Arabidopsis thaliana: one gene and its partners. The protein of the gene in region 1 purifies or fractionates together with the protein of each later gene. This does not show direct contact. Each region holds a gene or a part of one and is shown on either strand. Other genes may lie near its edges.

The links.
Region 2: the proteins of MDAR1 (region 1) and TRA2 fractionate together in Arabidopsis thaliana (co-fractionation; one large-scale study listed by BioGRID). This does not show direct contact.
Region 3: the proteins of MDAR1 (region 1) and PGM2 fractionate together in Arabidopsis thaliana (co-fractionation; one large-scale study listed by BioGRID). This does not show direct contact.
Region 4: the proteins of MDAR1 (region 1) and NDPK1 fractionate together in Arabidopsis thaliana (co-fractionation; one large-scale study listed by BioGRID). This does not show direct contact.

The regions. Positions count from the first base shown.
Region 1 is NC_003074.8:19,599,844-19,608,464, forward strand, and holds MDAR1 (monodehydroascorbate reductase 1), read right to left. Parts: upstream 4,612-8,621; 5' UTR 4,524-4,611; coding exon 4,473-4,523; intron 4,152-4,472; coding exon 4,056-4,151; intron 3,896-4,055; coding exon 3,824-3,895; intron 3,697-3,823; coding exon 3,645-3,696; intron 3,540-3,644; coding exon 3,459-3,539; intron 3,298-3,458; coding exon 3,179-3,297; intron 3,088-3,178; coding exon 2,868-3,087; intron 2,789-2,867; coding exon 2,670-2,788; intron 2,479-2,669; coding exon 2,353-2,478; intron 2,259-2,352; coding exon 2,118-2,258; intron 1,958-2,117; coding exon 1,634-1,957; 3' UTR 1,370-1,633; downstream 1-1,369. UniProt on the Arabidopsis thaliana protein: Catalyzes the conversion of monodehydroascorbate to ascorbate, oxidizing NADH in the process.
Region 2 is NC_003076.8:4,300,194-4,307,814, reverse strand, and holds TRA2 (Aldolase-type TIM barrel family protein), read left to right. Parts: upstream 1-3,499; 5' UTR 3,500-3,602; coding exon 3,603-3,778; intron 3,779-3,974; coding exon 3,975-4,146; intron 4,147-4,239; coding exon 4,240-4,289; intron 4,290-4,411; coding exon 4,412-4,712; intron 4,713-4,943; coding exon 4,944-5,132; intron 5,133-5,219; coding exon 5,220-5,402; intron 5,403-5,489; coding exon 5,490-5,735; 3' UTR 5,736-6,023; downstream 6,024-7,621. Other genes in the region: AT5G13430 (Ubiquinol-cytochrome C reductase iron-sulfur subunit), read left to right, coding at 416-590, 1,758-2,401; AT5G13410 (FKBP-like peptidyl-prolyl cis-trans isomerase family protein), read left to right, coding at 6,109-6,177, 6,254-6,323, 6,403-6,543, 6,818-6,903, 6,990-7,040, 7,217-7,297, 7,388-7,432, 7,553-7,608.
Region 3 is NC_003070.9:26,666,339-26,676,033, forward strand, and holds PGM2 (Phosphoglucomutase/phosphomannomutase family protein), read right to left. Parts: upstream 6,829-9,695; coding exon 6,754-6,828; intron 6,545-6,753; coding exon 6,308-6,544; intron 6,088-6,307; coding exon 6,006-6,087; intron 5,911-6,005; coding exon 5,855-5,910; intron 5,702-5,854; coding exon 5,588-5,701; intron 5,469-5,587; coding exon 5,406-5,468; intron 5,260-5,405; coding exon 5,140-5,259; intron 5,038-5,139; coding exon 4,937-5,037; intron 4,808-4,936; coding exon 4,748-4,807; intron 4,646-4,747; coding exon 4,546-4,645; intron 4,420-4,545; coding exon 4,259-4,419; intron 4,165-4,258; coding exon 4,069-4,164; intron 3,931-4,068; coding exon 3,867-3,930; intron 3,780-3,866; coding exon 3,698-3,779; intron 3,619-3,697; coding exon 3,440-3,618; intron 3,352-3,439; coding exon 3,275-3,351; intron 3,192-3,274; coding exon 3,059-3,191; intron 2,967-3,058; coding exon 2,850-2,966; intron 2,754-2,849; coding exon 2,682-2,753; 3' UTR 2,308-2,681; downstream 1-2,307. Other genes in the region: AT1G70720 (Plant invertase/pectin methylesterase inhibitor superfamily protein), read left to right, coding at 53-691; AT1G70740 (Protein kinase superfamily protein), read right to left, coding at 7,509-7,955, 8,037-8,223, 8,360-8,594, 8,694-8,904, 9,032-9,165, 9,250-9,313. UniProt on the Arabidopsis thaliana protein: Catalyzes the reversible isomerization of alpha-D-glucose 1-phosphate to alpha-D-glucose 6-phosphate. The mechanism proceeds via the intermediate compound alpha-D-glucose 1,6-bisphosphate.
Region 4 is NC_003075.7:5,920,020-5,925,811, reverse strand, and holds NDPK1 (nucleoside diphosphate kinase), read right to left. Parts: upstream 2,329-5,792; coding exon 2,278-2,328; intron 2,158-2,277; coding exon 2,109-2,157; intron 1,796-2,108; coding exon 1,446-1,795; downstream 1-1,445. Other genes in the region: AT4G09340 (SPla/RYanodine receptor (SPRY) domain-containing protein), read left to right, coding at 13-81, 166-225, 319-405, 513-797. UniProt on the Arabidopsis thaliana protein: Major role in the synthesis of nucleoside triphosphates other than ATP. The ATP gamma phosphate is transferred to the NDP beta phosphate via a ping-pong mechanism, using a phosphorylated active-site intermediate.

The DNA of each region.
Region 1 (8,621 bases):
TTCCACCAAAAGGGATTCACATGAATTTTTCCTAGCACATTTCAAAAGTTTCTAAATCTGCTATTCAACTACTGCAAAAGTCTCTAGCAGACGACTGTATCTACTACACATTTGGGCATTCAACTAAATACCACCACGCATCTTAAACTTTTCCGCATCTTATATAAATAATATTGTTTTTGTCTATCGGTTACAAGAAATTTAAATCTTAGAGGATAATGATGATGATGAAAGATGTGATCTGAATAAAAACGTTTCAGAAGATAAATTTCTTAAACACGATTAATAACCTTGAAACTGAACTGATCATAGATTTGTAGTACTTGTTAATTCTGAAAAACGTCATATATACACACACACACACACACAAATTACAGCTATTCGTCGACTAATAAAAAAAAAAATTACAACTTATATTCTAAATAGTGGATTAGGTTGATTGTTCTTTTAAGTCATAAATGTCCCACCATATTTGTTGTCTTTTTATTAGGGGGGAAAACGTAGACACATAAAATCAGTTTATTCGTCATCCTCCTCACAAATTAAGCATATCACACAAAAATAAGAGATATTAAATGAAAATTTTGGTTGTGCTTCACTGTCTTATTTATTTCCAGTTTACTTTAAATTTAAGACGAAGACCTAACACTATGACCTCCATACTTAATAGAGTTTGCCCCACCAACAAACTTTATGAATATGCATCTTGCATCACATCTTTCGTTATGCTAATTAATAACAGTTTGGCTCATCACATGTGAACATACCCAACGTAATTCCCATTACTTTAAAATTATGAATCTGATCGTAGCGTTTATAAGTGTCCAAACAAGTTTTCTTTCAGAGAACCACAAAGTTATACTATTTAAAACTAAACCAAAAGAATTACTAACAAAATCGAACAAAGAAAATAACTTAAATGCAGTTCAATTTTTGCTAAGTTTTTGTTCAATCTTTAACCAACAAAAAGAGAAAATCCAAAAAGCGAATCTGACGCTCATAGTATTTCATCTTTTCATTCACATTAATCAATATTTGCTTTCACAATCCCACATTATAAATAACATTATTCCTAACTAATATATTTAGAATGAGTAGATTTAACTGAATTCCACTCTACGACTGGAAATAAATTTGATTATCACTAGCAAAAGGGACTAATATCATGTTAAATTTATGAATTTCTAACTCAAAATTTTCAAGTTTTCTTCGGTTTGTGTATATATCAAAACTAATTCTAAGAAAACCTAGTCGAGCCGAGGACATGGAACAATGAGAGATGTCCAATTAAAGATCGAATTGACATTTCAAGGGTCGTCCAATGCCCATTAGAGTCTACGAATTACTATTTCAAGGCCCATTTGCTTTCATATTGTAAATTACTCCCTTCATTTGAGATTACAGTAAATGTGGTTTTGGAGTTGTTCACATTAAGAAACCAAGACAGATACTGAAACACAGAAAACCAAACACATGATCTAAAATGTGAATGTGGTTCAGGGTTTCCTCTGCCGTAGACTCTTCTCATGGAGTTTAGAGAGACAATACAAACACACAACTTATTATAGCTAAACAAGTTTTTATTTTAACATAGAAGAGAAAACGTGAGTTTGTTTTGGTGGTTGTGTTTCACTCAGATCTTAGCTGCGAAGGAAATTCCTTGTTTCACGAGCTCGTCGAGACTCTCTGCAGAAGGTCGAGCTTTGGCGACTTTAGCCAAGGCTTTGTTCTCATCACCACTACCTCCCTCCATGAATGCTCCAACCACTTTACCACCTTGAACCCAATATGCTCCAAATCTTGGTTTTGGGTTTGATGGATTGCTGTCTCCAAATAACACAGAGTCTCCTACGTTGTCTCCGTAGAACTGCCATGAGAGATCAAAGGAGCGAGAGTAGAAGAATGGAAGATAGTCGTATTCCTCCACCGCTGCGCCTCCCTCAGCCGCTTTGATCGCCTGCCACAATGTATCACATATATAAACGCTTCATCAGATATATACAACTGTATGTTAATCTATAAGATTTAGGCCTCAAGAGTTTGCGTTGCATTTTTTATGGTATGGATTAATAGGGTTTTGGTGTAGCGATATCAGCCATATTGTAAGCATTATTTACCTTAACAGCTTGCTCTGCTGATTTGCGGGAATGGTCAACATGCTCGACCCTTCTCACGTCTCCGTACATTTTCAAAGGGAAAGTAGCAACGTCACCAACAGCGTAAACATCTGGAACACTTGTTTTGAAGAATGCATCGGTCTGTGTGAAACAGTTAAGCAGTCAATTTAAAAGATCCAAATCAGAATGGTACGGGATAAGAAGAAGAAGAGACGCACAGGCAGCAGATAAATACCTTAATTCCACCTTTATCTTCCTCGACCTGTCCCTTGAATAAGGATGTCAATGGTTTTGCACCAACCCCAACTATCACAATGTCGGCTTCCAATGTCCTCCCATCCTTGAGTTGTACTTCCTTCACCTGGAGGATTATATAATACAAGTAAGACATTTGCAACGAGACCATTTGGAAAAGCTAATTAATCGAGTTCGTCAAACGAAACCAAACCTAAACATAACATTGTAATTTGGTTTTAGACTTTAGTTTCTATAAAATCAAACCAAAACTTAAATTGGATTGCCCACTCTATTAGCTAATGTTTCTTTGATTACCTCTCCATTTGGCTGAGCTGTGAACCCAGATGCCACTGTTCCTTTAATGATCTTCACTCCCTTGTTTGTATAGTAAGTCTCATAGAAAGCAGCAATATCGGCGGTGAAAAGCCTAGGCACTGCGTCAACATTTTGTTTTCATTACGTGTAACAATGTCATATATTACATGAATAGCAAAAGGATACTAGTCAACTTACTGCACCAAGGTTCAGGGAAAACCATAGTGACATCTAAATTGTTGATCCTTAAAACTGCACTAAGCTCAAGACCAATGTAACCTCCGCCAACAACTACAGCCTTTCCACCTTTCTTAGCTTTAATTGCTTCAACCAATTTGTCGGCATCATCAATCTCTCTCAGATAGAGGATATTCTTAGAGTCTGCACCTTTTACTCCAAAATCAGTCAATCTGAGAACCTGCAAAGGAAGGTAAAGAGTTACTTTCTTCTTGTAATAGAATTCATAAGAAGCATTCTGATGTGAGAAATGCAAGTATATCAGTCTTTACAGTAGAACCAGTTGCAATTATGAGCGTCTGATACTTGAAGACATCCCCAGTTGCACTGACAAGACTCTTGGCAGAGAGATCAGCTTTCACTATTTCTGTGCTTAGTATCAACTCAATTCCTACAAACACAATGGATAACAAAAAAATCATAGCACGATTTAGTTCCAATAACATAAGTAATTAAGCTTGTATAGAGAGTAATGTAATGTTATAATAGATCAGTGGGACTACACAGATGAGCAGGGCATTGATATTGGTGATGTTGCAGACAGTTCATTACCTTTCTGCTTGTAGGATTCAGGAAGCAGTTTTTCTCCACCACTACCAACACAGCAATGGAAACCTGGAAGTCTAGCAGCCCCTGCAACAAAAAAAGATTATCATAAAAAGCATAAACCAAAGCCAAGTTTCAGCAAATCAAAATTAAACGTTGTAGTTAGCAAAGTAAAGTAGAAAATTGTCTTACCTTCAGGAAACAAATACCCCTTGCTAAGTGCAGGGCGTTCATATGGAGCCACCTAAGCCACCATATAGAGTAAATAAGGTGTGAGGATTAGAGAAGACAAGTCCACATAAGGATCATCATATCATAGGTTACAAGACACACTGCATAATCACAGTTTTCCAAATCGAGAGGAAGCTTACCGCCTCTTTCGAGATAACAGCCAATTCTCCTGGTTGAACCCCTTGATTGGCAAACTCCTTAGCTGCGTATCCCTACACACAAAAATGGAGAAAAGGATACAACAAAGGTTAAGAGTTGAATTTGCTTCTGTATTTAGTTATTTCTTTGGAATTTTCTTCATTAACATCTGTGACTATACGATTAATCTGAGCTAGTATAAACTAAAGAGGATCCTGATGATACTATGCTTACTATTAACCATCTGCAAGTGATTTTGCAGAGATACACTTTTCTCACACTTAACAACAACAAAAGAACTAGAACTGAATCGGAAGTTTTTAAGATGCTCTGTGCAGAGGAAACCAGATTACATCCATGTTTTACGTCGAAAAAACAATCAATCAACATACGATTGTTTGATTCAAAATCAAGTTTCGATTGTAAATTCATCTCAACGATACTAGAAACTAGAAGCAGAGCCGCCGATCTGACGTTTAAATCTATGAATCACAATCTATAATCATCGTAATCGCTATCTGATTAACAATAACAAACTCCAAGCCAAAAAAACTACGAGAATTGTGGCATTTCGCAACACAAATCGAATCAAGCTCTTCGAAAATCGAAAGCAATGGCTGAAAAAACTTAAGGAGGAAGGAAGATACTCACGGCAGAGACGCCGCCGCCGAGGATGATGTACTTAAAGCTCTTCTCCGCCATTTTATCCGATCGTGTGAAAGCGTTTTGTTATCTTGTCGCTGAAGTTGGTTTGTTAGAGAAGCAAAGAAAGAGCAAAAAGGCTAATATGAGCTGAGTGACTCTAATTGGCTAAAACTTAACCAAGACTTGGCCGTTGATTGGAGGATGTAGATACAAAGCTTACACGTGGCAATATTGTGACCGTTGAATTTATCCAACCGTCGTGGTTCATGCTATATGTGGAAAGTAAAAAGAATTAAGGACGGAAATAAAGGACTGATTGATTCTTAAGTCTTTTTTAATTAACCCGAAAAATAGTTGGTGGAAAAGTCACAAATGTGCCACGTTATTGGATAAGTTGTGGAAAAGTCCACAAATGATGGGTTTTAGATTATTGGGCTTCTTTTCCTGACCTCTTAAGGCCCAAAATAACAAAATTCAAGAAACATGAAGCTTAGTCCTTCGACCCACATGATAACCCATTTGACCATCACATGATTAACAATTCGACTAAAACAACCATAAATTTTGATTTATCAGCAATTATATTTGTAAATAGGTTTATTACTACAATCTGTACGTAATAAGTATCAATCTTTGAAGGAACTAAAATTTACACATTCCCATCCAAGACTATAGGCAGTCACAATAACCCATTTGGATGAATGCTCATTTTTATTTTTAATTGTTCAAATTTCAAAATACTGTGTATAGCTAAAAAATCGAATTAATAAGTGAAGGAGAAAAAATTGGTGGAGTGGATTAGATGCATACAATGACAAAAAAGCCAAGCAAGCCTTTTATGGGGGTGTGGCCTGTCGACACAAACATGTGAAACCTATACTTGTTGCCTTATTCTCTAGCTTGTTCTCTTTCTTTTTATTTTTTTCTTTTACCAAATCTAATTTGATTACCCTATATATCTCATCTTCCTCGGATTCTCATTTCTCAGATCTTAGTTCTTATTGATATTGTTTTGTTTAATAGTAGTTATCAAGAATATACATAACTCGAATCATTTGTCGTTGTGCACCGTTGTTTCTTGTTCGCCGTCCACGCAATAATTATAAACATCCATACCTAAATTTTATATATACACATCATGAAATATTGCGACAAAGACATTTAATCTAGTGGCTCATAGTATTAGTGCAGTCATTGCATCATAACTTGGTATAAATGTTTGAGATACAAAAATAAGTATATATATATATATATAATAGAGTTTAATCCGCGGTACACCGCGAAAATAATTTATTTTTTAAATTAATATATATAAAAGTATGGGTACTTTTTGTATTTTGTACACTATTAATGAAAATTCACATTTTAAAAAATAAAATTGAATGATGGTTCAAATTGATCTTAAACGAAAAAATCTGGGTTCCATCAATCGTTTTTCTTGAAAAGATGCAAAATATTTTTAAAAATCGAATAAAATAATTAGCAGGACCATTGATATATTTAAATATGCGCATGCATATGTTTGTATAATAAAATCTTTTGATGTTGATGGTTGGTTTAAGTTAAATAAGAAATCAGAAGCGGACGTAACACATCTAATTTTTGTGTTAGTTTAGTGTTTACAATATATTTAATGGGGATTAAAAGCATGAGGGAAGAGATTAAAGGCGCAGAAAGAGGAATCCTAGGCTCAAAGGGTTCTCAAAGACCTATCAAGTCTCTATTATTTCCTAACACCACGTTCCAACTGTATGATTTAGGCTTTTTTGCCAGATTCAAAAGTACTTTGTTGTTATTAATCTCGATCATGTATCATTAAGTTATGTTTCTTGATCTTATGGTTACGGTTGTATATTATTTGATTTTTCCTATGCATTTTCCATTAGACTCTATTTGATTTTTCCTATGCATCTTCTATTAGATTCTAGTTCATTCTTTCTTATTTTTTTAATTCATTTGTCTTGGGTGGCTAATGAAGCAATAATGGTTTTTAGTTTTTATTTGAGATATTTGTAATTAATGATGCATATAATTTACTGTTTTACGTGGAAAAACGTATTCTAATTTCTTGTAAATTGCAATCGCATTGTATATTGTACCGAGGAAAAGGATCGATTTGCCTGCGTGTGTATAAGCTTTATCAACGAGATCCAAAGTAATCTATATATGACCCATTGACCTACCATCATACACAAAGTCAACACACCTAAAAATGATTATGATCATGTTAATCTATTACCGCTTCACATACAATTGATAAAACCAAACTAAAACTAAAACTAAATATAAATACTATAAACTAGTTAAGTAACCCACGAAAAAGTCTCGGCTTGGCTATAAAAATGCAGTCACCTTCCACTTTTTATTATCTTTCTGATAGTCATTCTATCAGAAATATTTTATACATTAGACTGATTTGTAGTATTTTCGTCTGCTTAAATTTGAACATATCGTTCGTTAATCATTAATGTTTCCTAAGTTAGTAACAGGCCTAATTCTTAATTGTATGTTCAATACTTTTATCTTATGATCTGATGTCTGAACTTTGAGGTAAAATGGTACTAGTATAGTTCCATAGTTATGAATTTGAAAGACTGATTAAAAATATATATTCAAAATACATATCAATCTACAGTGTTCTTTTTTTGTTTGCTAAATTATATGAATCTACAAAATAAAAACGTTATTTCTTCGAAAGAAGTGTTGTCGAAAAAACATTTTGAAAAGAACTGCGCATTGGCTACCTGTCTTATTCTGACAATATTGCTCCACCGTTATATTTTAAAAGCATTCACATCTATTTTTATCTTCTCACCAATCTTACCTACTACCATGTGTTCGCAGTAAATTAAGACATACGACGATCGAAATACTGTAATTATTTATTTTTATTGATTACACTAAACTAATCTTTTCATCAAGATAATCTTTCTTATGGGATTTCTGATTGTAAAGGGGTTTTTCCTCAATTTTTCCCTATTATTTTTTCAATTTAGTTTTGCCCAAAAAAAAAAAAAGAAACTATTTAATAAAGTTCTATAATATATTATTGATATAATCCGATTGAGTTAGCTCGATTAGAAGAATCATAGATGGCTAGATAAAGACATCTAGTCGACCTCTACTACTCTAGTGATCTAAGATTCAACTGGAGAGCAGTGTTATGACTTTGAAAAAAAAAAAAAAAAAAATCAGCATGATATACAACTTTTATAGATTAGTCACTATTCGATGAATGATGGGAAATTTCTTTGGCAATTTGACTTTGGTCAAATATGTCATGATATTGGTGGAAGTAAATTATTGATCATCAACATTTCCGGGAGGTGAAATCAGTTTTGACATGACAGTATATAATATTAAAATACTTGTTTCTATGAATAAAAACAGCATAAATCCAAATAAAGCTCGAATTATTTAAATAAAAGAACAATAACAATTCAGATAAATTTATGAACAATAATAAAAGAGTTTTGAAATGGAATTAAATATCTTCTGAAGTGAAATATGTAATAAAAATACAGTAGTAATTTTTATTTGTTTTGAGGCATAATAAAATGAGGAAAAAACCCGCAAACATATGCTGTGGGACCCACCATGTTTTTTTTTTCAACTTGATCATCTCTTAACTCTCTCTCATTCACCAGAAAACAAAAATTACACAAAAATCAAAACTTTTACTTTTTATTTCTCCTCTCTGGATCTTCCTCTTCAAAGCTCAAGGCCATTAGGGTTTATCTGAGCTCCAAAATCACCCTAATTCTAGTGTATTTCTCAGCAAGCAAGCTTCTTCTTTTTTTGTCCTGGGTAAGCCTTTGTTCCTTCAATTTATCGCCAGCTTCTTCTTTATCTCTTACCTTTTCTTCTTTGCACGCCTCCATTAGCACTTTATTTATTTTTCTTCTGTAACCCTCTCTTTGATTTGCTTTAATTCATGAGATTTGGGGACCGTATTCAGGGTTTTTTTTGGGTGGGTTTCTCTGATTTTTTTTTCCTTTTTCAGACCTTTCATTATCTCTATGTGGTCACTTAAGGTCTCTGCAGTTTCAATTCAAAAATTTAGTTTAAAAAAAAAAAAAATCTGGGTGTGTGTTCATTAGCTAGCTCCTCTTTGTTCACTCATTGGCTCTCTATGATTTGACATTTAAGATTATT
Region 2 (7,621 bases), on another chromosome or scaffold:
CAGATGTAAAACAGTCTTTTTGTTGGAAATCTTGTTTAAACATTACAACAACAAAATATATCCTTTACCAAGTATAGACCCCCTATTATTATTATTAAAAATTACGATTTTTATACAAATAAAATAATTTATCTTACAAATACACACACACAAAAAAATTATATCGTAAAACCAAAAGATTTTATTAATTAAAATTAGAAAAAAAACCATGCCATCAAAATCCTGAAGTAAAAAAATATCAAGTAATACGCAAAAACCAAAAAAAACAAAACAAATTGACCTTTTCTCAAAGACAATTTTTAAGGGACTTACTAGTAAGTAGTCTCTTATGTTTTGTTTTGCATCGGCCGTCCCAAACCTGAGGATTTCTCTGTTCAGCTAGAGCGAAACCCTAGATTCACATTTGAGCTGAGAGATGCTGCGTGTAGCAGGGAGGAGGCTTTTCTCTGTCTCGCAGAGATCTTCGACTGCGACCTCCTTCGTCGTCTCCCGTGACCATACCCTTTCCGATGGTGGCGGCGACTCCTCTTCAGCTCCCAGATCCCTCCCCTCTGCAGATCTCTCATCTTACCACCGTAGCCTTATCAGAGGTTTGCCGATTTATAACCCTTTCCCTCTCTCTCTACATTGATTTTTCATTTTCGGTGGTTCTTTGCAGTTTTATTTGATTGATTGATTTTTGAAAAGGTCTTCTTTTTTTGGTTGTATGATTCACGGGAATGATTGAGATTTCTAGTATTGTATCTGCAATGATCCGTGGGAACAAACGTGTCATCTGATTTGAATTCCATGAGCTTGATGTACCATTTGGCTACATTCTTCTCCTTGCTGGATTTGTATTGCATTTGATGATTACTTCTTTCGTGTGGATTGTTCAGTTCTGAGATAATCCTTTGTTTTACTAGGAAAGTTTCCTCTTTTCGGTGCGTTAATCATAGTATGATTCACCACTGGCTTCTTGGTTTTTGAAATTTGATCTTGTGTATCAATCCTTTTGAGTTCTTCATTGTTAGGGACATGGATGTTTTAACTGTATACTATGTTTGTAGGATTTATAGCTGTTTAAAGGCATGCTGAGGAACTTGCATTCTGAAATTTATGTTTTCTTAACCAAAGAGCTTTGTTTGTTCTTAGCATTGGAAATTTTGTTGTGTTTTAAGCGTTTCTGTAATATACAGCATCTGATCAATATATTTTTTTCTCTTGGTTTATTACGTTGGTTTTAGTATTTAAGGTTTCACTGAATTTGTTATTATTGATTTGTTTGGATGAATTTGGTATACTTGGCTTCTCTGATTCATTCTTTCGTCCAGAAGGAAATGAACATTTGAGTTTATTGATGGATTATGGATTGACCTGTTTAGATGTAATTCTTTGGTTGATGACTAAAGCTCCTTGCTTGTAAATCATTGGAATGCGTTATCCATAGTGTGATTCACATTGGCTTCTAGATTCCAATTTTTTGTTCTTCTGTTTCCATGTTGATCATTGAATTTGTTCTCTTGTTTTTTTTATGGAGATTATCGTATTTAAGTTTCCACTCCCCGAGTTTGATACGATGGTTTGAATTGTTTGGATGGATCTCATACTTCATGGAATCCGTTTTATGTACTTTTGTTTTTCCTTAGAAGATTATACATCAATGGTCACATCTTGATTGTGGTAGTCCTGTGGCTTATTCTTATTCTTGTAGAACACTTGACCAAGTATAAAGTTTGCCTTTGATGTGAAATATTAATGTTTCATGCTATTTTCAGGCTTCTCTTCTCAAGTCCTTGCTCAAGGAAATGAGATAGGTTTTGGTTCAGAAGTCCCAGCCACAGTCGAAGCTGTCAAAACGCCTAACTCAAAGATTGTCTATGATGACCATAACCATGAGCGTTACCCACCTGGTGACCCTAGCAAGCGTGCATTCGCCTATTTTGTCTTGTCGGGTGGGAGGTTTGTTTATGCCTCTGTCCTCCGCCTGCTTGTTTTGAAGCTTATTGTGAGCATGTCTGCAAGTAAAGATGTCCTTGCCCTTGCATCCCTTGAGGTTGACCTAGGGAGCATAGAACCAGGAACTACCGTGACAGTCAAGTGGCGTGGAAAGCCCGTCTTCATCAGGCGAAGAACAGAAGATGACATCAAGCTGGCCAATAGTGTGGATGTTGGATCCCTGAGGGACCCACAAGAAGACTCGGTTAGGGTCAAGAATCCAGAATGGTTAGTGGTTGTTGGAGTGTGCACTCATTTGGGGTGCATCCCCTTGCCTAATGCTGGTGATTATGGTGGTTGGTTTTGTCCGTGTCACGGATCACATTACGATATATCTGGAAGAATTAGGAAAGGTCCTGCACCATACAACCTGGAAGTACCAACCTACAGCTTCCTGGAAGAGAATAAGTTACTCATCGGTTGATTAATAAAAGCACAACAGTCAAGAGTCTGGATCTGAATGATGATCTTCACTTGTTCTTTTTTTCTTTTAATTAATATTTTCCGGCATGTTAGAGCAAGATTGACTTGTTTTTGCTGAATAATACAAACTTGTGATTTTTGTTTGAAGTATACTCAATCTTCGTTTATCCATCGCTAGTAAAAGACGACTATGTTCATAGTCTGTGTTTATTATTTAACATGCCTATTTGTCCTATGTATGAGTGAGATTCCTTTCGTATCTCATAATTCTAAACATCGTCATTCCAATTAAAAAGTTGTATTTACATTTGAGTTTCGATAGTATCTCAACGTTCATAAAAGAAAAACTAAAGGTATGAGAAAAACCAACGTAGAAACAAACAACAAAAGGTAATATATCAGCTTTGATTGATAGTTTACAGGAAGATAACCGAATAAGTTCAAACTGTATTCGTAAGACATCCCGTGAATGAATATTCAATCATCCAAAAGTGGCATAGCTAGATTTTTTCTAGATTGGCTAAGAACACAAAAACATAATATTTTATTCTGTTTAATCTTTTTTAGTTAAGAAAAAATGTTTGACACACAAAAGCCAAAGTTTGATTTGGGTAAAAACCATTGTGGGAGATGAAAATGTTAAAATCTTGTTTGTTTTGGTCACCAACAACGGCCATGAACTATATGGGAAGTGACTTATCTCTTGTAAGTTGTTTTCCTTTTGGGATATGGGAAGTGACTTCTCCGACCCTTGCAAACTAACAACGGCCATTACACACTAATTACAAGCCAAAGGTCCTCACTAAGCAACCTCTCGTGTTTATCATAAGACACCGCTCTATCTCTTATTATTTTATTCATTGTTTTCTAATTTCAGACTGATTAATCATACATTAGAGAAAGTTTATTAAAACCATCTGATGTAAAAAATCACATTTATCTAAATTAAATAAATTTGTTATCTAGTATATAACTATTTATTGTTTTAACATTTGGATAAATTGTAAGAAATTAGAATGTAAAATAAGACAGAAAATGGTCAACTATGAGCATCTATCGCCATCATGATATAGTTTCGTCGTTTGCGTTCCCGACCTAACTCAAAACTTCACCAACCCCATTTTTAAGCCCCTTTCTTTGTTTTTATCCTCCGATCGATCAAACCAAGAAAAAACACTTTCGTATTTCCCTCGACGAAAAAAATGGCAACCATTTCGAATCTCGCTAATCTTCCCCGCGCCACCTGCGTCGACTCCAAATCTTCTTCCTCTTCCTCCGTCTTACCTAGATCCTTCGTCAATTTCCGCGCTTTGAATGCAAAGCTTTCCTCTTCTCAGCTTTCTCTTCGTTATAACCAACGATCAATACCTTCCCTCTCGTAAGTCTTTATATCCATTTGATGCATGTCTTTTGTCTCTGTTTCTCGCTCTTGGGGTTCACCAAAAATTGAATCTTTTTAGCTGGAAACGTACCACGAATCTCAAAGTAACATTTTTTATAAGATGGATTAGGAAAAGCAACTGTATTTCCCCTTTTTGGTTGGTAAAAGTCTGATTTTTTTGTTTAATTTGCAGTGTGAGGTGTTCAGTGTCTGGTGGAAATGGAACTGCTGGAAAGAGAACGACTCTTCATGATCTATATGAGAAGGAAGGTCAGAGTCCTTGGTATGATAATCTTTGCCGTCCAGTCACAGATCTTCTCCCGTTGATTGCTCGTGGTGTTAGAGGTGTTACTAGCAACCCTGCGGTAATTTTATCATCTCTCTTTGTGTGTTTGGTTTTGCTTTTGCTCTGTGTTTGTTCATTTGTCTTTACTTCTTCACTTTTTATACATTTGCAGATCTTCCAAAAAGCCATTTCCACTTCAAATGCTTATAATGATCAATTCAGGTATCTTTTTGTGATTGTCTTAGACTTGTGGTTGTTAACAACATGCTATTAAAACTTTAGAGTTCTTCTTTATATGAAAAGTTGTCTGATATGTTAATGGTATACCTGACATGCACTATTAGGACACTTGTGGAATCGGGAAAGGACATTGAAAGTGCGTATTGGGAACTTGTGGTGAAGGATATTCAGGATGCCTGCAAACTTTTTGAGCCAATCTATGACCAGACAGAAGGTGCGGATGGCTATGTCTCTGTTGAAGTTTCACCTAGGCTTGCTGATGATACCCAAGGAACTGTTGAAGCTGCTAAATATCTTAGCAAGGTTGTCAACCGTCGTAATGTCTACATTAAGATTCCTGCTACTGCTCCATGCATTCCTTCCATCAGGGATGTCATTGCAGCTGGAATAAGTGTCAATGTCACGGTAAGTTATCCTAGTATGTTTCATTATTCAAGTTTCTTATTGCAAGTTTTAAAGAACTTCAAAATAAAATAAGTCATAATACTTCAAATTCATGTATTGTGTGATGATGTGCTAGATCACTGGATTTCTTGGGCGTTTTAAACCTGAAACTAGATTAGTTCAAGGGTGTTCCAAGGATGCACTGATGTTACCTTTTCTAAATCGTTTCTCATATGTTCTGTTCTGTTTCAGCTTATATTCTCAATCGCCAGATATGAAGCAGTGATCGATGCATATTTGGATGGCCTCGAGGCGTCTGGACTTGATGACCTCTCAAGAGTTACCAGTGTTGCTTCCTTCTTTGTCAGTCGGGTGGATACTCTCATGGACAAGATGCTTGAGCAAATTGGTACCCCTGAAGCCTTAGATCTCCGTGGGAAGGTAAAGCTCTATTCATCGCTGAGATCTTACACCAGCCACTGTGAGTAGAGTATTAGCTTATGACACATGATATGTTTACTCTTGCAGGCGGCTGTGGCTCAAGCTGCATTAGCATACAAGCTATACCAGCAGAAATTCTCTGGCCCAAGATGGGAAGCTCTGGTAAAGAAAGGTGCCAAGAAACAGAGACTTCTCTGGGCATCAACAAGTGTAAAGAACCCAGCTTACTCTGACACCTTATATGTCGCTCCTCTCATCGGACCTGACACTGTAAGTCATCTTTTTGTTTGTGTTGAAGTCAATAGGCTGTATTAACGCTTTGGAAGTATATTCATAGTTTTTGTGGGTGTGATTTAGGTATCAACCATGCCGGATCAAGCCCTGGAAGCATTCGCAGATCATGGAATAGTGAAGAGGACAATAGATGCGAATGTGTCAGAAGCAGAAGGGATTTACAGTGCACTAGAGAAGCTGGGAATAGACTGGAACAAAGTAGGAGAACAGTTGGAAGACGAAGGAGTAGATTCCTTCAAGAAGAGTTTCGAGAGTCTGCTCGGTACACTGCAAGACAAGGCCAACACTCTCAAACTAGCCAGCCATTGAGGAAATGAGTCATCATTATGTTTTTGGTTACGCTAAAATAAAAAGAAGAACCTTTGGCTTTTGTTCTTCAATCCTTATGCATGCTTTCTAAAGTGGTTATGATGGATTTTGCTTGATGTTCCACATTATGGGTTATTCTATTTTCTTTGTTCTTGTAAGATGATGCTTCAGAAGAGTTTGTTACTTTTTACCGTATTTGTAATTTACATTTTCACTGAAAACAATTGGCGAGTAAAAAAGTGTCCTTGTCTTCTTCTTTGTTCGGATTATATGAACAATTGTTCCTAGAAGCCTCTCTACATAAAAAGCTGAGACTTTATCTCTCATCTCTCTTTAGACGTACAAAAAAATCAGTTTTTTAAGTTTCACTCTAATGGCGTCAATTTCGTCCTTTGGCTGCTTCCCTCAATCCACAGCGCTCGCCGGAACTTCCTCCACCACCGTACGACGCCGCACCATCTCTCTGTTTCTTCTTCTTCTTCCTTTTTATTCACTGAATCTCTCATTTTGATTCTCAGAGATGCCGGACGACTGTGGCTGCTCGATTAGCTGACCAATCAGATGACTTCGCTCCTCTTCGTTCTTCTGGTTGGCTTGCTTCTACAGTTTTACTTTTCTGTTTCCTCCTCAACAGTGAATTGAATTATAACTTCAGTTTTGAAAACAGGTGGGAATTGTGGATGTGTTAATAATTCTGGAGAGTTTGATCGCAGAAAGTTGTTGGTTTCTTCTGTTGGTTTGTTGATTGGAGCATTGTCATACGATTCTAAAGATGGAGACTTTGCATCAGCTTCTCAATTTGCTGACAGTAAGAATTTTCAATTTCTTTTTGGAGGGCAGAGAATCTTTCTCAGGGTTACATTTCGATTAAGTTGTTGCTTTGTGCCTTATTAAGTAAAGTTATTGGCATTTGTAATTTGGAACATTGTTTGATTGTCCACTGTTAAGAGTTTGGTTGTGAGAGAAAGATGTGTTCTTTAGGTGAAGTTAATTTATCCGTGCGTGATTGTTGAAATCATCGATATAGCCTCTTTTTTTTCTAAAGCCACATTCTTTTCTTGGTATATTACTTGCATTCACAGTGCCAGCGCTTAAAGGGAAGGATTATGGCAAAACAAAAATGAAGTATCCAGATTATACAGAAACACAGTCTGGTCTTCAGTATAAGGTCACCCCTCATTAGTCCCATATCTTATATCTAATATAGTTTAGACTATGCGGTGATCATTAACTTGAAGATTTGAGATGCTGCAGGATTTGCGAGTAGGAACTGGGCCTATAGCAAAAAAGGGAGACAAAGTTGTGGTAAGGAAATTTCTGCATATCTATGGTTTTGTATCCTTGGTCTCAAGTTTATCTAGAAGTTTGCTCTGGTTAGAGAGTTTGGAGTTTGCTTTGCTTGTATCTATGTTAGCAAATTAATGTTTCAAAGACCATAGGTTTTGCTAGTAGTTATAAATAATTGAAGCTGGGTATGTTAGGTTGACTGGGACGGTTACACAATAGGGTACTATGGACGCATATTTGAAGCTCGCAATAAAACAAAAGGGGGTTCTTTTGAGGTATAAACACGTTTTGGCTCTTTTTTTTTTTGTTTCATTAGCTACAATGATACAGTCCTTAATCTTTGTTTTCTTTTTGTGAATCTGTAGGGCGATGATAAGGAATTTTTCAAATTTACCTTAGGATCCAATGAGGTGGGCGAAATTCCAAGTCCTTCTAGTTGCTATATGGGTTTTACCGGTTTAAAGAATGGATTTTGTTACTGATTGTATGAATTGTTTCTTTCTGGATGCTGCATGATTTTGGTGTTCCAGGTGATACCTGCTTTTGAGGAGGCTGTCTCTGGGATGGCTCTCGGTGGTATCAGAAGGTTCAACATCTTT
Region 3 (9,695 bases), on another chromosome or scaffold:
TCTTTATAAAATCTGATATTTTTCAAAAATCCTATAAATAACTCCAAGGCTTATGAATCCAAAAGAGCCAAACACATCACACAACAATATGGTAACAATGATGAGACCTACTCTCCTTATACTTCTCTTTTCCACCTTTCTCCCACAAATCCTCACCGTTGATCCACCACTCCTACCATCCAACGGCTCCGATTTCATCCGTTTGGCCTGCAACACCACACTCTACCCGGACCTTTGCTTCTCCACTCTCTCCTCTTTTGCCAACTCCATCCAAAATGACTCAAACCGCCTCGCGCGCGTAGCCATCTCCCTCACTCTCCACAACACTCTCCACCTTCTCTCTTACCTCCAAAACGCTTATAACCGCGACCACCCAACCCCCGTCCTTAGAGACTGCTTCGAGAATCTTAAAGATGCCGTTGACGGTATGAGAGGCTCCATGAAACAGATGAAGGAGCTTGTCTCCGCGTCTGGCTCGATCGAGTCATTTAGGTTCCAGATGAGTAATGTCAAGACTTGGCTTAGTGCAGCTCTTACTGATGAGTATACTTGTACGGACGGGTTCAAAGACGTCCACGAAGACGACTCTATCAAAGATGACGTCTGCTCTCGAGTCGATGACGTCAAGAAGCTTACTAGCAATGCGCTGGCTTTAGTTAACCGCTATGCCGACGAGTCAATAATAAATTAATAATATCTCAGTCATCGATCCTTCGAGTCTTTTGTTTTTTTTCGAAACTATGAACTTTTATACTTAAAAAAGTATTAGTAAACTAAAAGTACTACTCGTTGTTGCATGTAATACTGAAAATATATGTGAGTTTTCCTTGGAATTATTATTTACTTGGATTTATTTCAGTTTTTGCAAGTAAATGAAAACAGCAGTACTGTAAAAAGAATCAGATTCATGTCGTTTTTTCTTCGATTATTTTCTGGTAAATTAAATATATAAGTACTTTAAGAAAACGTGATAAATAAATAATTGAACATATGGTACAATTTTTATAAAGATTCTTAATTTATTAATGAAGAAGCCGATGCATAATTAATAATATTGCATGCATGCGCTGTAACTCCAATAACCCTGAAGTTTATAAAAAAAGTACACGGTTTTGAATATATATTCGAACACTGAAGTATTGCTCACTTATTATGTTTTTTAGAAACTAAAAAAAATTCAACGAATGTGAAAGCATTATCCATTAGATTTCCCCATCAAGCCTGAGGTGGATACATATTAGTTCTTCAGTACTTCTCCTGAACTGATGATTGTGGTAAAAAAAGTAATGATCGACATGATCGAAATATCGAATTTTCTCCAAAGACTAACAAGTAAGAACTAGAAGTATCTATTATGAATAGAAAAAAATCATATTCAATGTACTTGGCCTATGATTTGCCATGTATATAATATAATACATCAAACAAAAAACAATACTATAAACCTGTAACAATTACATTTCAAGATATCATATATTTCGGTTGACGCTCTATCACTATCCAATTATAATTTAAAGATAAATATATATATATATATATATATATATATATAAAATTTAAAGATGAGATAAACGAGGGAAGTACAATAATCAATAATACACTATTTTAAAGTCTTGTAATCATATATGTACATTGTAGTTTTTTTTTACAAGTATGAACTAATACGGACAAAAGAGCCAACTCAATCAATCTTTTTGTATTTGTAACTGTGATACCATAAAGAACACTGCTAAAGAGTAAAGTCTATCAACAATTTACTATAGTTACATGAATCAATTACGTGAAAAGACTTATTTTGATTAATTAAGCATTTCTGCATAAGAAAATGCTAATATTAAGCCTTTTGATTTTTTAATATTTTTCTTCGAGGATTCTATAATCAGTTGTGATTTCACCTAAAGTTAGACAATACTATACATAAAATCATTCTAATTTTTTTTATACTTAAATGCTGATCTTTTTATACGAGCTAACTCTATACTTTGACTATAGAAGCAAGAGAAATAGACAAATGTATAGCAAATAGCTAACCATCAACTGTATGTTACAATGTTGATGGTTAGCTAAAGCATCAGTCATTGTTGAGACAAAAGTTTAGTAGAAGACAACAAATATGGAGAAAGGACAGAGGAAGAAAGCCTAAAGTGGGAGGAGTGTTTGGATGGTAATGATGCCTCTCTTTCTTTTGGATTTAAAAACCAAATAAGAAAGAACCCGTGAACCCTGACTCACTTATACAAACTAACACATGGCACAATCTGATTCACGAAATTCATGCCCAACATTAGCTTTTAACTGTCAGAATGTTTTTGTTGGTCAAGCTCAAGAGACAAATTATAAACATCTGTCTTCTGGCTTGTCATCACCACCTCTCGGGTCCATTATCTATAGTTGTACACCGTAGGTTTTAGGTATCAGTTATTGTTGGATTCGCTTTTTACTCTTGCTACGTCTCCATCTGCCACACATGCTCCAATATTGTGGCAATTCTTTTTTATTTGGAGGAGCCAAACAAAGCTAGAAATTCAATTGCCAACCTAATGTATATTCCATTAAAATTATATGTATTGAAGTATACTTGTGTAAGATAACAGATAACAGGAAAAAAGCAAAACCCAAATTCATAAGAAATGAAGTTGGAATGAGAGTAGTATTGGAGACAGCGTCTTCTGAAAGCTGTCTTATGTAATAACAGTTGGTGATGATCGGCCGGTGAACTCTTGCATTTTCGACAGCTTTAATGCAACATCAACCTGTGAAAATCAGACACCAACAATTGGTGTTAATAAACATGACAAAGATCGATTATGCGTAAATTTGGGAGTAATTAAGGTATCTGGGAATCTGACCAGGGGACCAAGAGCATCCTGAGAATCTCGGCCGATCTTTGAGGCGTCCTTCTCGTATTGTTCAATGTATAGCCTTATTGTTGCTCCTTCTGAGCCAGTTCCCGAGAGACGGAACACCTTCATGAACAAGAGAAACAAGCCCGGATTAGCTTTTACAATTTCACAGGTTGTTGAATTGTTATGAATCCATTTCACACATATCGACTTACAAGTCGTGATCCATCCTCGAATAAGTATCGGATCCCTTGGTGCTTTGAAACAGAGCCATCTACTGGATCTTTGTACTCGAACTCATCTGCGCTTGCAACATTTGCCACCTCTGGATGAATTCCCTTTATAATCCTGACCAATTATCCAAAAACGTGAGTCTGAAAGTCATACAAGTAAAAAGGAATGGATTTGAAATTAAGTGGAGAGAGAGATACTTGTTGACTTCGGGAAGTGAAGATTGCAACTTAACCAAAAGTCCCATGAGTTCTTTAGCTGCAGTTGCGTCTACGTTCTATGGAGCAAATATTTAGAAATTGGTCAAAGGTAATTGGTTATTCTACATATTGTCTACAACCAATAATGACATTTGTCAGTTTTACCTCATAGTCGTATCGAGTGTAATAGTGACGGCCATATGTAGCCCAGTGCTGGCGGACAATGTCTTCAACCGTCACCAGTTTTGCATTCCCATCAAGGGTTTCCTTGTTCTTGTGAGCCAGTATTGATAGCCAAGCAAGAACTGCCCAGATCCCATCTTTCTCACGGATATGATCCGAACCTGTCGAAAAGCTTCTTTGTGAGTTGTGTAGGGTTGTTACGGTTTTAAAACATGTGAAGATCTAGCAATAGAAGCTCACCGGTTCCAAAACTTTCTTCTCCGCATACAGAGCACATCCCAGCATCCATTAGATTGCCAAAGAATTTCCAGCCTGTTGGAACCTAAAATATAGAAGTATTAGAGCAATAGACTATGTTACGTGATTGCAATGAATAGAAGCTAGAGAAAAGCTTCACAATGACATCTACCTCAAAGAACTTCAAACCCAAGTTTTTTGCAACGACATCAAGTGCAGCTGAGGTCGGCATGCTCCTGCAATACGAATGTGAAAGTTGAGAATTTAATGAGAAAAGATTGTTACTATCTATAATAAACAAAAACGTATGACACCAAAGTCCAGCGTTTTCAATCTATGAACTGGAGTAAACAAAGAAGAACCGGGATGCATACCTAGCAACACCTTTTAAACCAGAGCTGAAGTATGGTATGGCCCCAACAGCATTTGCAGCAATTATAGCAACTGAATCCGAAGGAGTTACGAAAAACCTGCGGAGAAGAGATATTTTTGGTTAACGGGGAGAGTGGTATATCCGCTCCACATCTCTGTGATCTCACTTAAAAGAGAATTAGTCTCTGCTACCTTTTACCGAGGATCATGTTTCGGTCTGCATCACCATCAGCAGCGGCGCCAAACTCTGGAGGCTCGCCACCAGCATCATCAGTTTTACTCAATCCCATGCGTGCCACGAGCTCCTTAGCATAGGTAAGATTGGGATCCGGGTGGCCCCCTCCAAAGTCCTCCTGTACATTGTCCGATTGTCGTGTTGTTATAAATCATAAAAGACACTGTTCAACGTGTATTTATAATCCTTTCAGGAAATGATATTTCTTGGTTATACAAAATAAGAAAGAAGAAAAAAATGATACCTTGGGTACGCAGTTCAACAACGAACTTTCTGGTGCACCTAGTTCTTCGACAAAGATGCGATGTGCATATGCTCCAGCCACTCCATGCAATGCATCATAGCTTCATAGAACGATGGGAAATAAAATATCAAAGACATGATGGAGCCTATACAAGCAAACAAACTCAAAAGAAAAGATTTATGGATGTTGATGAACTATATACCAGAAAGTAAATTTTGGATAAGATAGCAATTTCTTGATGGATTCAAAGTCGAAGATTGACCTGAAGAGACGAACAAATCTTTTAGATCATCGATACCGCAGATTCTGGAACCATTCTCTTAAATGCATAGACCATAGAGGGAGTAGATTCAAGAACTGTTCTCTCAGATACAAAGATGGAAAGACTTACTTCATTAGTTTAACATAGTCATCTGCAGAATCAAAAACTTCGACGTCAAACTTTCCTTCAGGTCCTTCAAAGCTGGTTATACCAATAGTAGAAATATCAACCTGTTGCATTCAATCAAAAAGACCAGCAAAAAAACATGATTAGTACAAATACAAGATGAAAAAAAGATGATGACAGGTAATAAGATCAGAAATGTTAGGTACCCTGGGTAGATCTTCCGCTATTGGGTACTCCTTGATTGTCTTTGTGTTCTCGTAAATCTTATCAGTGATTGATTCAGGAGCTGGTCCACCATTTTCCATATTGTACTTAATTCCGAAATCCTGTGAATAGAATAGCAGGAAATCAGCATATGGAAGCAGAGAGATGAACATATAGTTTAACAAAACTGATGCTAGGATTCAAATAATACTAAGTGAGGGTATCGAATGAACAAGCACAAAAGAGTGAGAACAAAAAGAGAACTGACCTCAGTTGGGCCACCAGGATTATGACTTGCTGTTAAGATAAATGCTCCTGTGGCTTTAGATCCCTGAAATTGGATCTCGGGTTAGTTTCTCATCACGTCATTACATGTTGCAAACATGCATAGCCTTAGATAACAACCCAAGAGAAAAGTAAGTAGTATGAGTTTAGAGGAAGATATCTCACATCAGCCCCTACTCTTTCACGAATAATAGCTGATACTGCAGGAGTTGATAGCAGACTGTTTTGACCAACCCACACACGTCTAACACCATTAGCTGCTGCCATCTTTACTATAATCTGTCCAGATAGGAAATAAAGTGGTATTGACGAACTATCTTTTTTATGAAATAAAAGATTCAAAACAACTAAAATAAGAGTAAAGTGTCTAAGAATTATAAGTTAATGCAAAACGCAGTTTGCCATCATTCAAAGGACATATAAAGCTTTTACCTGAATAGCTTGCTCTGAATAATAACGACCATCACCAGAAACCACAAGTGTCGCACCTGAAAAAGTTAACAAATACTCTTTCTTAGATGGAATTTGCAATCATCGACCTTTACCTGAACAACAATCAAAGAGAGGTAAGAGAGATCTTTACCTTTAACTTTCTCTGTAGTAAGAGCATTGAACGTTGCCTGGACAAAATTTTCAAGGTAATTTGGTTGCTTAAACACTTTCACCTGTAAAATTACGAAACAATGCGTAAATTCAAATCTCATCGGATCGGATCAAATTGTTAAAACCAACACACAAAATTCATTCAATCCATAAGATCGGAACTAAATGAAGAAATCAATTTCGTTGCGAAGATCTGAATTTAGAATTCAAATCTCTAATCCAATTTCGAAATAAGAACGCGGGGATTGATATAACAAGGAGAAGAAGCGAAAGCGAACGAACCTTCTTACGGAGTCCAGAAGTCCCAGGTTTCTGGCCATCAATAGGCGAAGTAGAGACGAGAGAGACCTTGAACGACACCATTTCAAATCTGAAGAAAATCGAATAAGCCTGAAGATGATAAAATAAAAGCCTTTTTACACAGTGAGTCTGAGGAAAGGAGATGAAGAGGCTAAACGAGAAGGTGACGCGTGTGGCTCGTCTCTTTTCGTTTTTTTTTTTGGTAGGATCTCTTTTCGTCTTTTAGTGGACCTAACTTTTTACCCAAAACGGGTTAGTATATATATTTTATTTTTAATTTCCAATAGAGCCGAAACGATTACAAGGCCCAACAAGCCGACAGAGGCACGAATGGCCCAAAGAACATACATGGCAATAACTGCCTAAAAGGACACGCAGGCCCTAGAACTAGAACCTAAATAAAACAACGAGGCCCAACCGGGCATTACCCCAAAAATGAAAAGAGAAACTTTAACTGAAGAACCTGAATCAGGTAGAAAGCAAGAAGTAACCAAGAGGAACATTAAAGCAAGAAGTAACCAAGAGGAACATTACGTTGATGTCTCTGATGATTAACACTGACGGTCTGTGATTCTTTGGCGAAGTTCACCTCTAGAGTGAACCAATTTGATTCACCCCCTTTTTAATGACAAATCAAAATACAACATTATGACATGTCATACTTTATTTAAAAATAAATGAAAACTAAAATTTGAAAAAAAAAATTAAAGAAACAAAATCTGTATATTTTAAATTAAAGAAAGTTAAATATATGTTTGTGTATTTTCTCCACTAATTTCAGTTAGTATTTCTTTTACTATCAAAATAATTGTTTACAAAAACCCTTTTTATAAATTTTAACTGAAAAATAATTTAAAACGCATAAAAAACATTTTAGTTTTATGTTTTGTTTAAAGTAAGGTACCGTTAATACGTACAAGAGAATATGCTTTTATACGTACGAGGCCAATAGTGGGGACCTAGATAATGGGACTACAAGTGATTATTCTAATATACAAATGTAACAAATGAATCATAATTTTTTCCCGCTAATATAACAAATCATACTACAAAACTAAATCACTACTGCAGTCAAAAAAATAAATTAATTTACTTTTCAAAAGCAAAATTAAATAAATTATGAAACAAATATTATATATGCAGCTCGCTATTTACAATCACCTATGACCAGATTTTATGTACTTCAATAACTCATATGTCGTTTCCCGTGAGGGTCTGAGCTAGAGCTCTGACCAGCACTTCTAGTGGCATTACTCCGAGTTGAAGCTTTAGAAGATGCGGGGGTACCTCTAACACCAGTTCCCGTGTTTGTGTTCAGGTTTGAACCGAAAGAATCTGTGCTGGAACCAGTGGTCGACAATGTTCCAAGTGATGCTGCTCCTGAAGGACGTTGTGTTCGCCGACGGTATCTAGATCCCGGGACACCAGGATGATCCGGTTCTTCTAGATGTCCTGGTTTTCTAGAGAGAAGTAGAGATACCCGTCTCATGCTCGGTCTTTGATGCGGATCGCCTTGAACGCAGAGTAGTCCGATCTGTACACAGAGTTTGACTTGATCTGGATCAGCTGAAGCTGCTATATCTTGGTCTAGTATCTCCATGGTCCGGCCTTTCTTGTACAACTTAAATGCCTGTGTCACATTCAGAAAGAATTTAGCATTGGTTATATTACGCTGAAGAATATTGGCTGGGTCAGGCCATCACACAACAACCCTATAAACAATGGAGCATGAGACTAGAGGCTTTACCCATTCAAGAAGAGTCTGGTCAGGGTGTCTCATGCTAAAACTCGAGTTCTTCTGTCCACTTACGAGCTCCAGAACCAAAACCCCAAAGCTGAATACGTCTGCCTTTACCGATAGAACCCCGTGCATTACGTACTCTGGCGCCATATAACCACTGCGCATAAGAAAAGAAGAAGCAATGGACGTTAAATAACATTCTACCATGAAACACCAACAAACAAAAAGAGTTCAAATGACACAAGAAGATATGTAAATGAGCTTTTTAAGGGTAAACAATAGAGAGAGCATACTTGGTTCCTGCAACACGAGTGTTGACATGTGTTACATCTTCCTGATAGAGTCTAGCCATCCCAAAATCTGCAATCTTAGGAACCCATTTTTCATCCAGCAAAATATTGCCAGCCTTAATATCCCTGTGGATGATGCAGTTTGGCGCGTCTTCATGTAGATAGAGCAGTCCTCGAGCAATGCCTGTTATGATCTCAAACCTCTGCTTCCAATCTATCTCCGATTTTCTGTTGGATTCTGCATTCAAATGAAGCAACCACTACATGTTAAAACCATCTTCTTTCAATATCATTTATCCTAATATACAAACCAATCTCATTGAGAAGAAAAACTTACTGAAGAGGACCTTGTCGAGGCTCTCATTAACGACATACTCATAAACCAAGAGCTTATCATCTCCATGTGTACAATAACCCCAAAGATTAACAACATTGCGATGCTGAACTTTAGCCAACAACTTAGCCTCGTTCACAAACTCGTTTTTGCCTTGCCTTGAAACCTGAGATAGCTTCTTCACTGCTATGTCTCTCCCGTCAGGTAATCTTCCCTATTACACACCAATCAACCTCATCAGCCAAACTAACAAAACCCACGAAAACACACACACACAATTATACAACCACAACCCTAAAAATGGAAACTTTAAGCTCTGGGTATGTCAAAATTAGGGTTACCTTGAAGACGGGACCGAAACCACCTTCACCGAGTTTATGGGTCGGGTGAAAATCTTTGGTAGCGGAAACTAAAACTTGAAATGGGAAAACTTTTTGCTCCATAGCAGCAATTCGCTCAATATCATCTTCAAGACCTTTAAGTCAACGAAGAAAAAGTTAGTCAAATTTCACAAAAACCTAATCTTACACTAAGAATCAACAAATCAAACGGATCTTACCTCGATTGGAGCTGCGTTTGAAAGGTTTAATGATGTTCTGAAAGAAATTCATGGACTTTGTCATGCCCAGATTGCTCTTATGAGAGTTCTTAGTGACCATCCCATGGGAAGGTAACAACAGAGAGAGATTTAGGGATTTAACGACGACCCAGAAAGTAGTATTGAATTGGGGAAGAACCGAAGAAGTTGATTTTGGTTCGGCGGCGTTGGATTGGGTTTAAGTGAGGTGACGTCTTAGGGATGATTGAGGAATGAGGAAGAAGAAGAAGCGTGTTTGAGATCGTCTTTGTTTTTATTAGAATGGGTTTTTGATTCAGGGAAGAGTTTATGCGAGGAAGGATTTAGATTTGAAACGAAAGTCAAGAAGAATTCGTGTTTTTTAATTAAAATTCAAGCACATTTTTGGATAAAAGTCAGTCTCTTGCTTCAACCTTTTTACTTTTTTC
Region 4 (5,792 bases), on another chromosome or scaffold:
CGGTTGGTAAAGCTTATACGGAAGGGTGAGATCGATGCTGCTCTTGCGAAACTCCGAGATAGCTATCCCCAACTTGTACAGGTGGATTGAGGAACTAATCATATCAGTTGATTCATATTGTTACATTGAAAATATGAACTCTTACCTCAATTGTATAATCTGCAGAACGATAAATCAGAAGTATGCTTCCTCCTTCACTGTCAAAAGTTCATTGAATTAGTACGGGTATGCTCTTCATTCCTTATATATTAATCAGATCCACTGCGGTTAGACTGACCTCTCTCTAAGTAAATAAATACTAAAATGTGACATACTTAGATTGGAGCACTAGAAGAGGCTGTGAAATATGGACGAATGGAATTAGCCAAATTCATTGGTTTAACTACATTCCAAGACATTTTAGAGGTAATGATGGTTCTGCAACCTTAAACTAGTGGTGGTGTTTTGGAATTTTTTTCAATATTTAGTGGTTTCAAAGACAAGAGATTCGAGCATCTTGTTATCTATTTCAGGACTGCTTTGCTTTGCTAGTGTACGAACGCCCCGAAGAATCGAATGTAGGGTATTTCCTAGAAGAGACTCAAAGGGAAGTAGTGGCAGACACAGTGAATGCTGCGATTTTATCTACAAAACCAAAGGGCAAAAATCAATCGCATTCTCATCTAGAGACACTTCTCCGACAACTAACAGCTTGCTGTCTGGAACTGCGGTCGCTTAACGATGGTCAAGGAGAAGCGTTCTCGCTTAACCGACTTCTTAGAACCAACAATTGGAAGAGGACAAAAAAGACTACTTAGCTGTGTCCATCTTTGGAAACAAACTTGGCTTTGATTGTTGACAGTGGCTGGGTTTGAACTGTTACAGGCAGCTACAATAAGCGGTCAAAATAGATGATTGAAACAGACGGGTTGGAGTTGAACCTGACCGTTGGATTCTTTTCTTCTCTAAAGTTTGAAGAACCAAAATTGTAAAATTTAGTTATTTAAATTTAGCTTGCCAATGTTCATCAGTAAGCTTGAAATTCAGTAGACAAATACTCAAAACTTTTCTTATCACTCTCTCCTAGTATGCCCCCTTCAAGTTGGTGTCAGCCTCAAACTTGGACAATGGCTTACTAGACAACTTAAGCTTGCCACTTTGTCGAACGTCGCAGTTTTCGAGAGCATCTAAGAGATTGACAACATTATGTGTTCATGAAACACAAGGTTACAAGAAGTATGATCTTGTGTTTACTAAATAGGTTTGATCTAACCATTGGTAAGAGTCAATTTTGGTTCAGTATCTGCAATAACTGATATATTTTATATCACCAGTTGGTAGCTGTTGTATTCATATGTAGCAAGCAAGCAAAGTAGAGAAGGATAATCAAACTCAACTTAAATATAGAAGTCTTGTTCAAAAGACAAGCAATGTCGAAAACACACTACTGAAAAAGCAACAGATCATCAAGTTTCATAGACCCAAGGGTGAACGCTGCTCTGCCAGTTGACAGGTCCATCAGGGAACCACAAAGCAATCTCCTTTCTTGCACTCTCGACAGAGTCACTACCATGGATCACGTTCCTGCCAATGTCAATAGCAAAGTCCCCACGGATAGTTCCAGGCTCAGAAGCTGCTGGGTTGGTAGCTCCAATGATCTTTCTTCCGGTCAAGACAACATTCTTTCCTTCCCAGATCATAGCAACAACAGGGCCGGATACAATGTAGTCAACGAGTCCACTGAAGAAAGACTTTGAAGATAAGTCTTCGTAGTGCTTCTCAGCAAAAGATCTCTCTACACTGATCAACTTCAGACCTGTATAAAATACAAATCTACACTGATCAGAAACACAAGACTAACACTCTTATCTACCAAATTACATAATACAAAAGGTCCAGATAATAACAAGTTCTTATGCACAGATACTATAATCTAAAATCTATTAGACAACACAGAATACTTGTCAAGTCAAACAAGTTTTACTAAACTATTAGTGTTCAGAAACTAGACCAAACCATAAGCAACTATAGTGTCATTACAATCTCAATTCAAGTAACAAAGTGACTTTAATTAGATCTAAGACCTCTAATTATAATGTAAAATCAAGTTTGGTAATCGAAATCATTACCTTTCAAAGTGAAACCCTTCTTCTCAAACCTGCAGATGACTTCACCGATCTGAAAGAAAAAAACACAAACATATCGATCTTTTAAGTATAAACAATCCAAAGAACTGAATACAAAACCAAAATCAGATCAAGATCAACAAGTATGTATTAAGAGAAAAGGGAAGCTTACGAGTCCTCTCTGGACGCCGTCAGGCTTGATCATAATAAAAGTTTGCTCCATTGTTTTCTTATTACTTGTGATTCGTAGGAGGCAAAAAAGATTTATATAGAGTCCGCACATGTAACCCTAATTCTGTTGAAGAATATTCTAACCCTAGAATATTTGCTACAAATTATTGGGCTTCCCTTATTATTATGTTAGGCCCAATTAAATAAAATATTGGGCTTCATAAAAAAAACACAAATAATATTTTTTTGCAACTTAATTATTTATGTCAAACAAACGTAGATTAATACTGTGATATTAAAAGTCGTTCGCAATATAACTCTTGCACGTGTATAGATTTTGCAAATCATATAAATCTGTACATGATTATTAAAATTACGTCGTTTTGAGCCTTCTTTTAACAAAAAAAACGGCTTTTACTTATTATTATTTTAAGGTTCAATTAGTTATAAAAATTGGATTTTGTGCCAAAAAATTCTCTAAGTAATTTTTTTTGTAACTCAATCATGTAAGTTAAATAAATGCAGGTCTGCGATCTCAAAAGTCACCTATAGTATATCTCTTAGACGTGTATAGATTTTGCAAACCGTATGTTTATATATAGGTTATTAAAACTACGTTGTTTTGAGCCTTTAAACAAAAACGCAAAATAATGTTGGAAAATAGATTTGAACGCATGGCATATTGAACTATTCAAAGATTACTTAACCAATTGAGCAGAGTGATTTTGTTAACTTTACAAACCGATTAATATATATAGTTTAAACATGAATCGAATACAACAATAACATTATTTCAGAATTGTAAACATAAAACTTGACAAACAGCGCGAGCGGTTACGATCGGATCAAACCCAAGTCTGAACACGCTCAATTCTTCCACCCACGCCTCGTCTCAGAGCTTTCCTCGATGAAGAATAGATTAATTGCGATGAGAATGAGCCCTTGCTTGCTCTACAAATTGTTGATGATGGCCAAAGATAATGAAATCAGTGGTGATAAACAAACTAGTTCACGTGAATAGAGATTTCGGATTGCTAATAAACCTAATTTCCTAAGAAGATGAAGAAACCCAGAATGCAATGTTCACAATATATATTTATCGGTATGCAATATCAACAATAAATCTTGCAGCACAATTGGTTAAGTGCATTATTTAGTATTATAGGTTATTGGTTCCAATCCACTCTAGTAATGTATTATTTTCCGAAAAGATGCTCAAACGACGTAGTTTAATAACTTATATACATACTTATACGGTTTGCAAAATCTAAGCACGCCCAAAGATTATATAAAATCTATGCACGTGGTTATACTGTGGGTGACTTTTGATATCAGAGTATTGACCTACATGTATTTAATATGAAAGGTTATGTTGCAAAAAAAAATATTTTTGAGGGTTGTTGGCACAAAACCCTAATATATTTGTTAGATTTGGATTAAAAGAGTTTGATCACACCACTTTGATGCATTCTCTCATGTTGAAGATATACACAACACATTTTCTAAACAAAAATTGTAGTTTTAAGGATTTTATTTTTTATAATATATATATCAAGTATATGAATTGATATAGAAACTATATATAAGTACATAAATTATTCGATGTAGCCAATTACTTCAAAAATTGATAAAATGATCTCAAACACATTTTTTAATAGAGCAAAGTTCTCTTTCTCCATCTCTTGCTACTCAATCATTTTGTTGTATCTACTTTATCATCTATTCGCATAAATTTGTACATAACCACTTGTTCTTAAAGATTATTTCTCATCACATTCGAAAACACTGTCGCTAACACATCTTGCCTAACTCTTTTAGACCTTCAAATATGTATTAAAGAAAGAAAGACAAGTTTTCTACATGATGAAAGTTTGCTCCATTTTTTTTGCTTGCTTATGACCCATGGGAGGCAAAATGAGTTATATATAGTCTCCACAAATTTTTAACTCTAATTATACCGAAGAACATTGTAGAGCTAGAATATTCGCTGCATTTTTAGTGTTATTGAGTCTTCACTTATTATTATTTTAAGGCCCAATTCGATAAAATATTTGTTAGATGTGGGTTAGAAAGACACAATGGTTTTATCTCACACCACCAATGATGCATTCTCTCATGTTGAAGATATAAATAACACACTTTCACAGCAAAACATTTAGTCTATAGTTTTAATTTTTTTATTTATTAATATATGTATCAAGTATATAGTTTTTTTTTAAGAACAATCGACTATAAAAAAACAACCAATCGAAATATAAGTTGCAAGTTTCAAAGTGTATCCAACCATTTGTTTTAAATGATTTGAGTTTTTATGATTTTGTTGATCTTAAGTGAATTTAGAGTAGTTGTAATGATTTGTTTGAAAATCTTCCCAAATTCCACTTAAATCATGTTAGTTAGATATATGTGTTTTCAACTAAAAAAATCCTCAAAATTATCTGAAATCCTCAAAAGAGATATAATGGAGGATGTTGTGTTTTATTCAAAGTCACATACAACCTCTCACAAACATATATTTGATTGTAATTAGGATCTAGATATATGAAAACTCATGATTGTATGATGAATCGATGTAGAAACTATATGCATGATTACACATAAATTGTACAATGTAGTCAATTACTTCAAAATTTGAAAAAGTGATCGCAAACACATTGGTCAATGGACCAAAGTTCCCTTTCTCTATCTCCTTCTCATCAATCATTTTTTTGTTGTATCTACTATATCAGCTATTCACATAATTGTGTATCTAACCACTTGTTCTTAGATATTACTTCTCATCACATTCAAAATCATTGCCGCTAACACATCTTGCCCAACTCTTTATACCTTCAAATATTTTCTACTAACATTTTACTGATTCTGATACGGATATTTTGATGTTTATCCGAGTTTCACATATTCAAAAAGTATGGATTCAGATAATTTCATAACCTCTATATTATTGTCCACATCTAAAAACCACATAGTAAATGACCTGGAAAGAACAAACTAGGGTTCTAAAAATGTAAAACAATGGAGCAGTTATATATGGGAAAGTCCAGTGAATAAAAACAATTTTCAGATGATGATAAGAATAACATATTTCAATTAAAAGAATGATAATATGAAATAATAAACAATGAAACATACAAAATTATATAAAAAAATATTAAATTCATAGAGATTGGATTGATAAAATTCATCTATTTTTACTTTAAACATGATTAGCAAACCTTAGTATTAATAGAACTAGGTTTTGAACCCAAGCTACAGGTTGGTTTCTTCTACATCTTTTGTAAACGTTCAATACGACTAATAACAATTATTAAAATATTATCTTTCAAAAATTAGTGTATGGAATAACATACATCTAGTAAATCAACAAATTTACAACAATATTAATTTCTATATATTTTAATTACTGGTTGTTTTTCTCTTTTAACCAAACATTAATAATTAAGAAAGCCACCCCATGAATGGAACGAATTATTTTAAATACATAATTTGCAAAATTGTATTGTAGATATAAAATAT